2 linked regions of the Oryctolagus cuniculus genome follow. The protein of the gene in region 2 purifies or fractionates together with the protein of the main gene of each other region. This does not show direct contact. Links are inferred from orthologs where the notes say so. Each region holds a gene or a part of one and is shown on either strand. Other genes may lie near its edges.

Evidence for each region. The genes of interacting proteins can lie anywhere in the genome.
Region 1: the proteins of VAMP8 (region 2) and STX12 purify together in Homo sapiens (affinity purification with mass spectrometry; 3 studies listed by BioGRID and IntAct, counting the BioPlex papers as one, with this or other methods). This does not show direct contact. The link is inferred for Oryctolagus cuniculus from reciprocal best matches to the Homo sapiens genes VAMP8 and STX12.

Annotation. Positions count from the first base shown.
Region 1 is NC_091438.1:143,815,337-143,819,754, forward strand, and holds part of STX12 (syntaxin-12), read right to left. Parts: intron 2,551-4,418; coding exon 2,445-2,550; intron 1-2,444. UniProt on the Homo sapiens protein: SNARE promoting fusion of transport vesicles with target membranes. Together with SNARE STX6, promotes movement of vesicles from endosomes to the cell membrane, and may therefore function in the endocytic recycling pathway.
Region 2 is NC_091433.1:117,071,044-117,075,983, forward strand, and holds the start of VAMP8 (vesicle-associated membrane protein 8), read right to left. Parts: upstream 3,207-4,940; 5' UTR 2,772-3,206; coding exon 2,769-2,771; intron 1,456-2,768; coding exon 1,300-1,455; intron 1-1,299. UniProt on the Homo sapiens protein: SNAREs, soluble N-ethylmaleimide-sensitive factor-attachment protein receptors, are essential proteins for fusion of cellular membranes.

The DNA of each region.
Region 1 (4,418 bases), on a different chromosome or scaffold from region 2:
GCCCAGGAAGGCAGTGGAGGATGGCCCAGGTGCTTGAGCCCTGCACCCGCATGGGAGATCAGGAGGAAGCACCTGGCTCCTGGCTTCGGATCGGCGTAGCTCCGGACGTGGCAGCCATTTAGGGGGTGAACCAGCAGAAGGAAGACCAAAACCTTTCTTTCTGTCTCTCTCTCTGTGTCTAACTCTATCTGTCAAAAACAAAAAACAAAGGGTGACTGGAATCATAACTAGCATCTCAAACCTGTGCTAAGATTCTTTTATAGTTGGGGCAGTCTGCAAGTTGCTGTGGATACGTATGGCTAAGTGGCATGGGAGTGTGTATGCAATAAGTACAGATAAATAAGAAAGGGATTACATAGGAAATGGCTAACAAATAGTGTATAGAAGGGTGTGCAGAAGACCTTGTGAAAGAGGTAGCATGTGAGTGCCTTTTTTAAAGAAGTTATTTGCTATATATATAGCCAAACTTGAATTTTTTTTTTTTTTTTTTTTTTTTTTTTGACAGGCAGAGTGGACAGTGAGAGAGAGAGACAGAGAGAAAGGTCTTCCTTTGCCGTTGGTTCACCCTCCAATGGCCGCCGCGGCCGGCGCGCTACGGCCGGCGCACCGCGCTGATCCGATGGCAGGAGCCAGGAGCCAGGTGCTTTTCCTGGTCTCCCATGGGGTGCAGGGCCCAAGCACCTGGGCCATCCTCCACTGCACTCCCTGGCCACAGCAGAGGGCTGGCCTGGAAGAGGGGCAACCGGGACAGAATCCGGCGCCCCGACCGGGACTAGAACCCGGTGTGCCGGCGCCGCTAGGCGGAGGATTAGCCTAGTGAGCCGCGGCGCCGGCCCAAACTTGAATTTTTTTTTAAGATTTATTTATTTATTTGAAAGATAGAGTTACAGAGAGAGACAGTGAGAGATCTCCCATCCACTGATTCACTCACGAAATGGCCACTATGGGCAGAGCTCAGCCAGGATGAAGCCAGGAGCTAGGAGTTTCTTCTGGGTCTCCCATATGGGTGTAGGAGCCTAAGCCCTCAGGCCATCTTTCACTGCTTTCCCAGGTGCATTAGCAGGGATCTAGATCCGAAGTGGAGTAGCTGGGACCTGCCTATATGGCATGCCAACACCTTAGGTGGTGGTGTAACCCGATATGCCACATGCCAGCCCCCCTTAGTGCCTTAAAGCAAAAGAGAAGCCACATAAACAGAAAAGAAACTGAGTTAAAGAGCAAAAAAGGGCCGGTGCTGTGGCGTAGTGGGTAAAGCTGCTGCCTGCAGTGCCAACATTCCATATGGGCACTGGTTCCAGCCCCGGCTGCTCCACTTCTGATCTAGCTCTCTGCTACGGCCTGAGAAAGCAGTAGAGGATGGCCCAAGTCTTTGGGCCCCTGCACCCACGTGGGAGTCGTGGAGGAAGCTCCTGGCTCCTGGCTTCAGATCGGCACAGCTCCAGCCACTGCGGCCAATTGGGGAGTGAACCATCAGATGAAAGACCTCTCTCTCTCTCTCTCTCTCTGGCTCTCCTCTCGCTGTATAACTCTTTCAAGTAAGTAAATAAATAAATATTTAAAAAAAGAGAGAGAGAAAAAAAAAAAAGTATGTCATAAGATTTAATTGTCGGGGCCAGTGCTGTGGCCTAGTAGGCTAAGCTTCCATCTGCGGTGCCAGCATCCCATATGGGCGCTGGTTCGAGTCCCGGCTGCTCCATTTATGATCCAGCTCTCTACTATGGCCTGGAAAAGCAGTAGAAGATGGCCAAAGTGCTTGGGCCCCTGTACTCCAGTGGGAGACCCAGAAGAAGCTCTTGGCTTCTGCCTTCAAATGAGCCCAGCTTCAGCCATTGCAGCCATTTGGAGAGCAAACCAGCAGATGGAACATCTTTTTCTGTCTCTCCCTCTTGCTCTCCTTAAATACATAAATAAATCTTTAAAATTGTTGTTGCTGGGAGGCACTCATAGGCTTTGTCGTAAGGCCCAGTTTAGGCTCAATTTAGGGCTAGTGCATGCAGAATTTGTCCGTACCAGCATGTCAGCTTCTCCTCTAGGCTGTTTGGGCTTGGGTGATCTTGCTGCTTCCCAGGTAGCATGTTCAGTTCATATTGCCTTCTTTTTTTACAATATTGTCTATTTTATCATTTACTACCATAAAATACATGCACATAAGTGGATTTGTGCAGTCCCAGTGAGCAGTAAAATATTTGTTTCCCTTGCTCTGTTCTTCTTGTGTCTTTCTCAAGGAGACCACGTGACTGAGGAAACAATTCGGGTACTCCTGAGCACCAAGGCCTATATCCTGACAATGGTTTAAACTCACCATTGTTAACACTGAAACAGACAATATACAAAACTCATACACGCCTCATTTCATATTTTTCATAGTAACTGGGAAAAAATTCAAGTGTACTAAATCCAGATAGCTGCAGACGGTCAAACAGGAAACACAACTTGGCTCTTACCTCCAGCTGCCGAATTGCTGTCTCCCTCTCTTTAATAAGCTCCAGGTCCTGCTCGGTGATGGCCGCCTCGTCCTCTTGGCTCTGCATCTGGTTCCACTCCTCATGGCTACAGGGAGACAGATACACTGAGTCCTCTGCTCAAGCTGTGACAACACCTATCTACAATACTGCCATTGCCAGCAAAGCCTCTCCAGACTCATTTCCAGGGTTACAACTCCTCTGATATCAACACGAAGTCCTGGAGGGCCACACTCTTCATATCAAGAGGCAAAGAGCTGGTAATAGGCTCCAAGGAAACAGAGTGTCAGCTTCCATAGGCAAAGCTGAGATGAAGTGGAATTACGAGGGTTGGGATTCCTGGCTGGTTCCATTGAAGGGTATACTCTAAAGTCTTGCTAGGATTTGCCAGACAAGGAAAGCAATGTGAACTCACTGAAGGCATGCTTCCTATTATAGTAGGCCCAAAACACCTTGAAATCCACTGTTGTGCATTTTCCCAACATATGGATGAACCATCCTTCTTGGCCACAGTATTACAGAACAGCCTCCATGTGCTGGAGATGCGAAGTTGATAAGAGAGTCCCCCAGACCTCCGTGGAACTCGAGAACATCATGTAGGGTGATGGATAGAGATCTATGATAAAATTCAGCATATTAAGTTCTAAACTAATGTCACAAATATGTCTAAGGGATTAGCTTAGGGAAGTTAAGAAAAGATAACTCCTTCAGATACAAATTGTCTGCTTTTCCTCTTAATATTCCTAGAAGATGAGCTGTGCTAATTTAGAGGTGAGTAAGCAGATACCCAAGAACTCCGAGGAATGCAACTCTGAATTAGAGGTAAAATGATCCGTAGACGTGTGGGTTCATACCTATTCCTAATGAGTCAAGGTCTCTCCCAAACACACAGACATCAAGGGTTTCTTGGAATTTTTTATTCACCTTGACATTATTCCTGTCATAATTCAAATATCTTACAAGAACCTATGGTTTGACCTTTTATTATGTGGATTATCAATTACCCACCACAGATCTCTTTTATTTTGTCCTCCTTTTTTACTCATTTCCCTTTTTTTGTTTGTTTGTTTTTATTTTTATTTTTTGACAGGCAGAGTGGACAGTGAGAGAGAGACAGAGAGAAAGGTCTTCCTTTGCCGTTGGTTCACCCTCCAATGGCCGCCGCGGCTGGCGTGCTGTGGCCGGCGCACCACACTGATCCAATGGCAGGAGCCAGGTCTCCCATGGGGTGCAGGGCCCAAGCACTTGGGCCATCCTCCACTGCACTCCCTGGCCACAGCAGAGAGCTGGCCTGGAAGAGGGGCAACCGGGACAGAATCCAGCGCCCCGACTGGGACTAGAACCTGGTGCCGGCGCCGCAAGGCGGAGGATTAGCCTAGTGAGCCGCGGCACCGGCCTCATTTCCCTTTTAAGATTTATTTGTTTGTTTGTTTGAAAGGTAGAGTGACAGATCTTCCATCCATTGGTTCACTCCTCAGATGGCTGCAATACCCAGGTTTGGGCCAGGCAGAAGCCAGGAGCCAAGAACTCCATCCTGGTCTCCACATTGGTGGGAGGGACCTAAGTACTTGGGCCATCCTCTGTGGTGGAATGAGAAAGTGAGAAGGTCATGTCAAGATGGCCACTGACATATGTGGTGGAATGAGAAGGTGAAAAGGTCATACCAAGATGGCCACTGACAACAGAAACTGACTGACAACAGGTCGTGATTGGATGGCTTCGGAAACCACATGACAACAGTGCCTGACTGGCAACAGGCTGTGACTGGATGGCTTTGGAAACTGCCTGGCAACAGGCTGTGATTGGTTAGGGCATAGACTGCCCCTTGACGGGATTGGCTGCCTTGGCTATATAAGCAGCTGTAGCAACTGAAATAAACGAGTCTGTGGGCTGCTTGCCTCAGGCCTGCTTTCACCTGACTCCCGGGGTCTGTGTGGTGACTCCACGCCTCTTGCC
Region 2 (4,940 bases):
ACCGCCTGCCTCATAACTCCTGGAGAAGGCCAGAGGCCCAGGGAGGTTTTCCCAGAATCAATATTTGCTCTCTGGGGATCGGGGGGGAGGATCAGATCCAAATGATTGTCAAGGTCAGCCTTCAAAGGGAGAATGTTTCATAGGAGAGAAATTTAAGAATGCAGGGGCTAGGGCCAGCATTGTGGTGCAGTGGGTTAAGTTGCTGCCTGCAACACAGGCATCTCATACGCTCCACTTCTGCTACAGCTCCTTGCTAATGTGCCTGGGAAAGCAGCAGATAATGGCCCAAGTTTTGGGGCCCTTGCACCCACATAGGAGACCTGGATGGAGTTCCAGGCTCTGGTTTCAGTCTGGCCAAGCCATGACTGTTGCTATTCGGGAAGTGAACCAGCGGACGGTTCCCTCTCTCTGTAAATCTTTTTGTTTGTTTGTTTTTAAGATTTATTTTATTATTTATTTGAAAGGCAGAGTTACAGAGAGGCAGAGAGAGAAGTCTTCCATCCATTGGTTCACTCCCCAAGTGGCCTCAATGGCCGGGGCTGGGCTGAAGCCAGGAGCTTCTTCTGGGTCTCCCACATGGGTGCAGGATTTGGGCCAGTCTTCTATGCTCTGCCACAGCAGAGAGCTGGATCAGAAGTGGAGCAGCCGGGACTCAAATCAGCGCCCATATGGGATGCCAGGACTACAGGTGGCAGCTTTACCGGCTATGCCACAGCGCCGGCCTCTGTAAATGTATTTTTTTAAAAGATTGATTGATTTATTTGAAAGGCAGAGTCACAGAGAAGCAGAGGTAGAGAGAGAGACAGAGACAGAGAGGTCTTCTATCCATTGGTTCATTTCCCAAATTGCTGCAACATCTGGAGTTGGGCTCATCAGAAGCCAAGAGCCTGGAGCTTCTTCTGGGTCTCCCAAGTGGGTGCAGGGACCCAAAGACTTGAGCCATCTTCTACTGCTTTCCCAGGCCATAGCAGAGAGCTAAGAGTAGACGGGACACAAACCAGTGCCCACATGGGATGCTGGCACTGTAGGCAGCAGCTTTTACCACTACACAGTAAAATGAGCGGGCTGACTGAGCCACCTGTGTGCCTCAGAAAATGTCTCTGTGGGTCACCCCACCCCAACCCCAGTCATCAGACTCATTCCTTGGTCCCATACCAATCAATGGAGCAGAGCAGAATAGGAAATGGGGACCCAGCTCATGCCAATTCCTGAAATAGATGCAAAGGCAACAGAAACAGCAGAGCCTCGCCCCTCCCGTTCACCATGCCCTCCCTTGGTCCCAGGGTCTTCCCGTCTCACAGTGGCTTCCAGGTCCTCTGTCTTGTTGCGCAGCTGGTCCAGGTTTTCTCCTCGTGCCAGGATCCGCTCCACATTCTGGGTCATTATATTCTTGACTCCCTCCACCTCACTCTGCAGGTTCCGCACTCGGTCATCTCCGCCTCCGCTGGCCGCCTCCTGCGCACAGCACAGGGGCTAATTAGGCCAAGTGACAGAGGACCAGAGGGAGACCCAGCCACAGAGGCCAGGGCAGTGGAAGGCCTCAGGTGGACGTCAGCCTTTACAATGCTTGCATTGTTTACAAACTATCTTTTCCTGCTTTAATGCATCTGTAAGCCCCAGCAGGTGAGATCTGATGCTGGACACCATCACTCAAACTTTCGGGTTCCCAGGGCTCCTGGCAAGGAAGAAAGCAGCATGGCTAACTCCCTCTCGGCTGCTTCCTCCTCCTCATGGGGTCGCAGGCACTGCAGAGCTGGCATCTCACAATGTCCCCCTCCAGCGCAGACCCCCCGCGATTTACCAAGTCCTAGAGCCCTCCCTTGCTTCCTGGACCCCCCTGAGTCTTCATTAAACCTGTCAGTGCCAGCCAGCAGGACGCCCCACCTGGCCCAAGCCTGCTCCGGCTCCCGGACAGCTGCTGGAGGATTGCTTCGGCTCCGGGGCTTCCTGGACAGCCTGACCCTAGTTCCATGGCTATGACCCAGAGCCAACAAGTCCCTCACACGGCGCCATGATCCGCTGAGCACACACTTCTGCTTTCCCCACCTCTCAGCAGAGCCTGTGCAGATACTAAGTGAAAACAGGCACCTGGGCGCTGGGGGAAATGGAGGACAAGTGCTGCCCGCCTGCTGCCTGCCTCATCCTGCAGGGTTCATGATAAGGTTTTTGATCAAGGAGGGAAAACAGGCCTCCCAGCCTGGCCCTCGGGGGGGGGGGGGGGCAGAACCTTGCCAAGGGTGTGGGGCGAAGCTGGATTATCGCAGAGAACCAACTTATGGGTCTTTTACAGGCCCCCGGCTGCTTCCTTAGACGCGGTACAGAGGGATCCTTTGGGTTTCTGCATAGGGAGAAAGCGGGAGGCCCGGTGGGAGAACTCCCGCCGCCGCTGGCCTGGAATCTGAGCCGGGAACAGCAGAGGCGCTTGCTGTCCAGCGGTGTCACAACACCCAGTTTGTCCCTGCCAGGGGAGGCGGGGGCGGGGGGCGGCAGAAAGTGGCAGCAACTCTTTGCCTGGAATTCGGACGCCCCCCCAACCCCCACCGCGGCCCTGCTCGGGGCCAGCACGGAGGCCAGGGGAGGGAGGTAGTGGGGCAGGGACAGGAACACCGCCCAGGCGGCTCAGAAGTATTTGCGGCCAAGTTGTCAGAGAGGCCACAGACAGCGCCGGCCCCAGCCCTCTGACTTCACCACGCACCCTCCCCTCTCGGCAAGGCCAAGCCCCAGTCCCCAGCCCCCTTTAGAAAGCAGCCCCCGTCCGGATCGCTCACCATGTCTGCGAGTCGCTGGGGCCCGTCAGCGGCGGAGCTCACCCAGGCTGCTTCCTCCCGGGCAGCCCTCGCTCCACTTCCTGCTTGCTCCAACTTTCAGCCCGCCCCTGCCCACCTCCATCCCTGCGCTCGCGCCACACCTAACGCAGGTTTCCTCAGGTAGGCGGGCTCCCGCCCCCGCCCTCCCAGTCTCCACCCAACCAGGGCTTAAACTTAAAGCCACAAGGCTCCCCGGGAGGGCACCGAAGGTCTTGCCACTTGCCAGAAACGACAAAGCAAAGATCAAGCAACCTTCCTAGGTTTCCTGAGGCGGGACAGACTCCTTTTTATGTCTGGGATGTCTTAAGCACCCTGCGGGCCGAGATCACGTGAAAACAGGTGCAGAGGTGACAAGATCTTGCCGAAGCCCTTGTACTTAGGACTGCAAACACTGGGAAAAGTCTGGAATGCTGTCACCCCAGGCTCGGGTGTCAGAAAGCTCAGGGTTACCGGCTGCATGCTGCCTAGTGAACTTCCTCACCTCTTTCTGTATTGCAGGTGCAAAGGAGTAAAAGACAGCTCACACAATGTGCCTGACAGTGCCTTGAACAAAATAAGTAATCAGGAAATGATGGCCCACCAGCCCTTCCCCTTCCCTTCCCAATTGCCTTGCATGTGCCTTGGGAGGACAGTGTGTGTGTGTTTTGGGGGAGGTTGCTGACCCTATCAGTGGTCAGAGGACAGCCCAATGAACCAGACAGGGACGACCCAGGGCAAAGGATTTTTCCACCAACCTGGCCCTGGGCCAGAGAAAGGCCAGAAAAAAAATCCTCTCTTCCTGGATGGTGTTTATCAAGACACAAGAACAGTAACAGGGACCTGCAGAAGGGAACAAACATTCTTGCCTCTTCCCAGAAGAAATGGCAGTTCCAAAGAGGAAATATCAACTTCACCAACACATACTTTTAAAAAGAGAGAGAGATTTATCTGAAAGGCAGAACACCAAGAGAGGACAAGAAACAGAATAAGAGTGATCTTCCATCTGCAGGATCATTCTCCAAATAGCTGCAACAGCCAGGTCTGGGCCAGGCTGAAGCCAGGAGCCAGGCACTCCATCCAGGTCTCCCATGTGGCTGGCAGGGGCCCTGGTACTTGGGCCTTCCTCTGCTGCCTACCCGAACACGTTAACAGGAAGCTGGATATAAAGTGGAGCAGTCGGGACTCAAACCAGTGCTTTTAAAAAGTCTTTAATACATTTTGTCTTGAGACATCTTTTTTCTAACTTAAATACAATTTTGTCCCCAATTAGGTTGTAAGTTTATTAGATTATACAGACATGAATTTTAGTGGCCAGGACAAATAGCCTGGGAAACAAAGTGTGTACCAGCCTGCTTTGGCAAAGAAACATGGCTGCCTCACCCTTCTCAGGTTGCCACAAGGCCAGGTGGAGGAGGAGTGGAATTCTTAGTCTCTACTTGTGTCATCCAGACCAGTTGCCATTAACCACTTGGGCTGTTGAGTACTTGAAATGTGGCCAGTCTGAACTGAGATGTGTTGTAAATGTAAAATACACACCAGAGTTCAAAGACGTAGTATGAAAAGAAGAATGGAAATATCGCATTCATAATTTCATATGTTGATGGCATGTTAGAATAATGTCTCGGGGGGTGAGTATTATGGCGCAGTTTTTAAACCACAGCTCAGGACACCTGCATCCCATATCGGAGTGCCAGTTTGAGTCCCGGCTACTCCACTTCCCATCCAACTTCCAGCTACTGCCTGGGAGGCAGCACATGAAGGCCCAAGTGCTTGAGTCCCTGCCACCCACATGGGAGATCCAGATGGAGCTCCGGGCTTCTGGCTTTATTCTGGCCCAGGCTTGCTGTTGCAAGTATTTGGGGAATAAACCAGATGGAAGATGTTTCTCTCTCTCTCTCTCTCTCTCTCTCTCTCTCTCTCTCTCTCTCTCCCTCTTTCTGTCTTGCTCACTCTGCCTATCAAATAAATAAATTAAAAAGAAAGAAAGAGAGAGAGAGAGGGAAATGGAGTAGGATCCCCAGAGTGGGAATCAGGGTTATGATAGTTGAGAAGTTATTAGGCTCTCGCCTGCCACTGCCAACCTTAACATGGGTGGGTGTCCCCGGGGGAGCTGACCAGTGGCCTAGACTCAGCAATCATCAGCAGGTAGAGTCC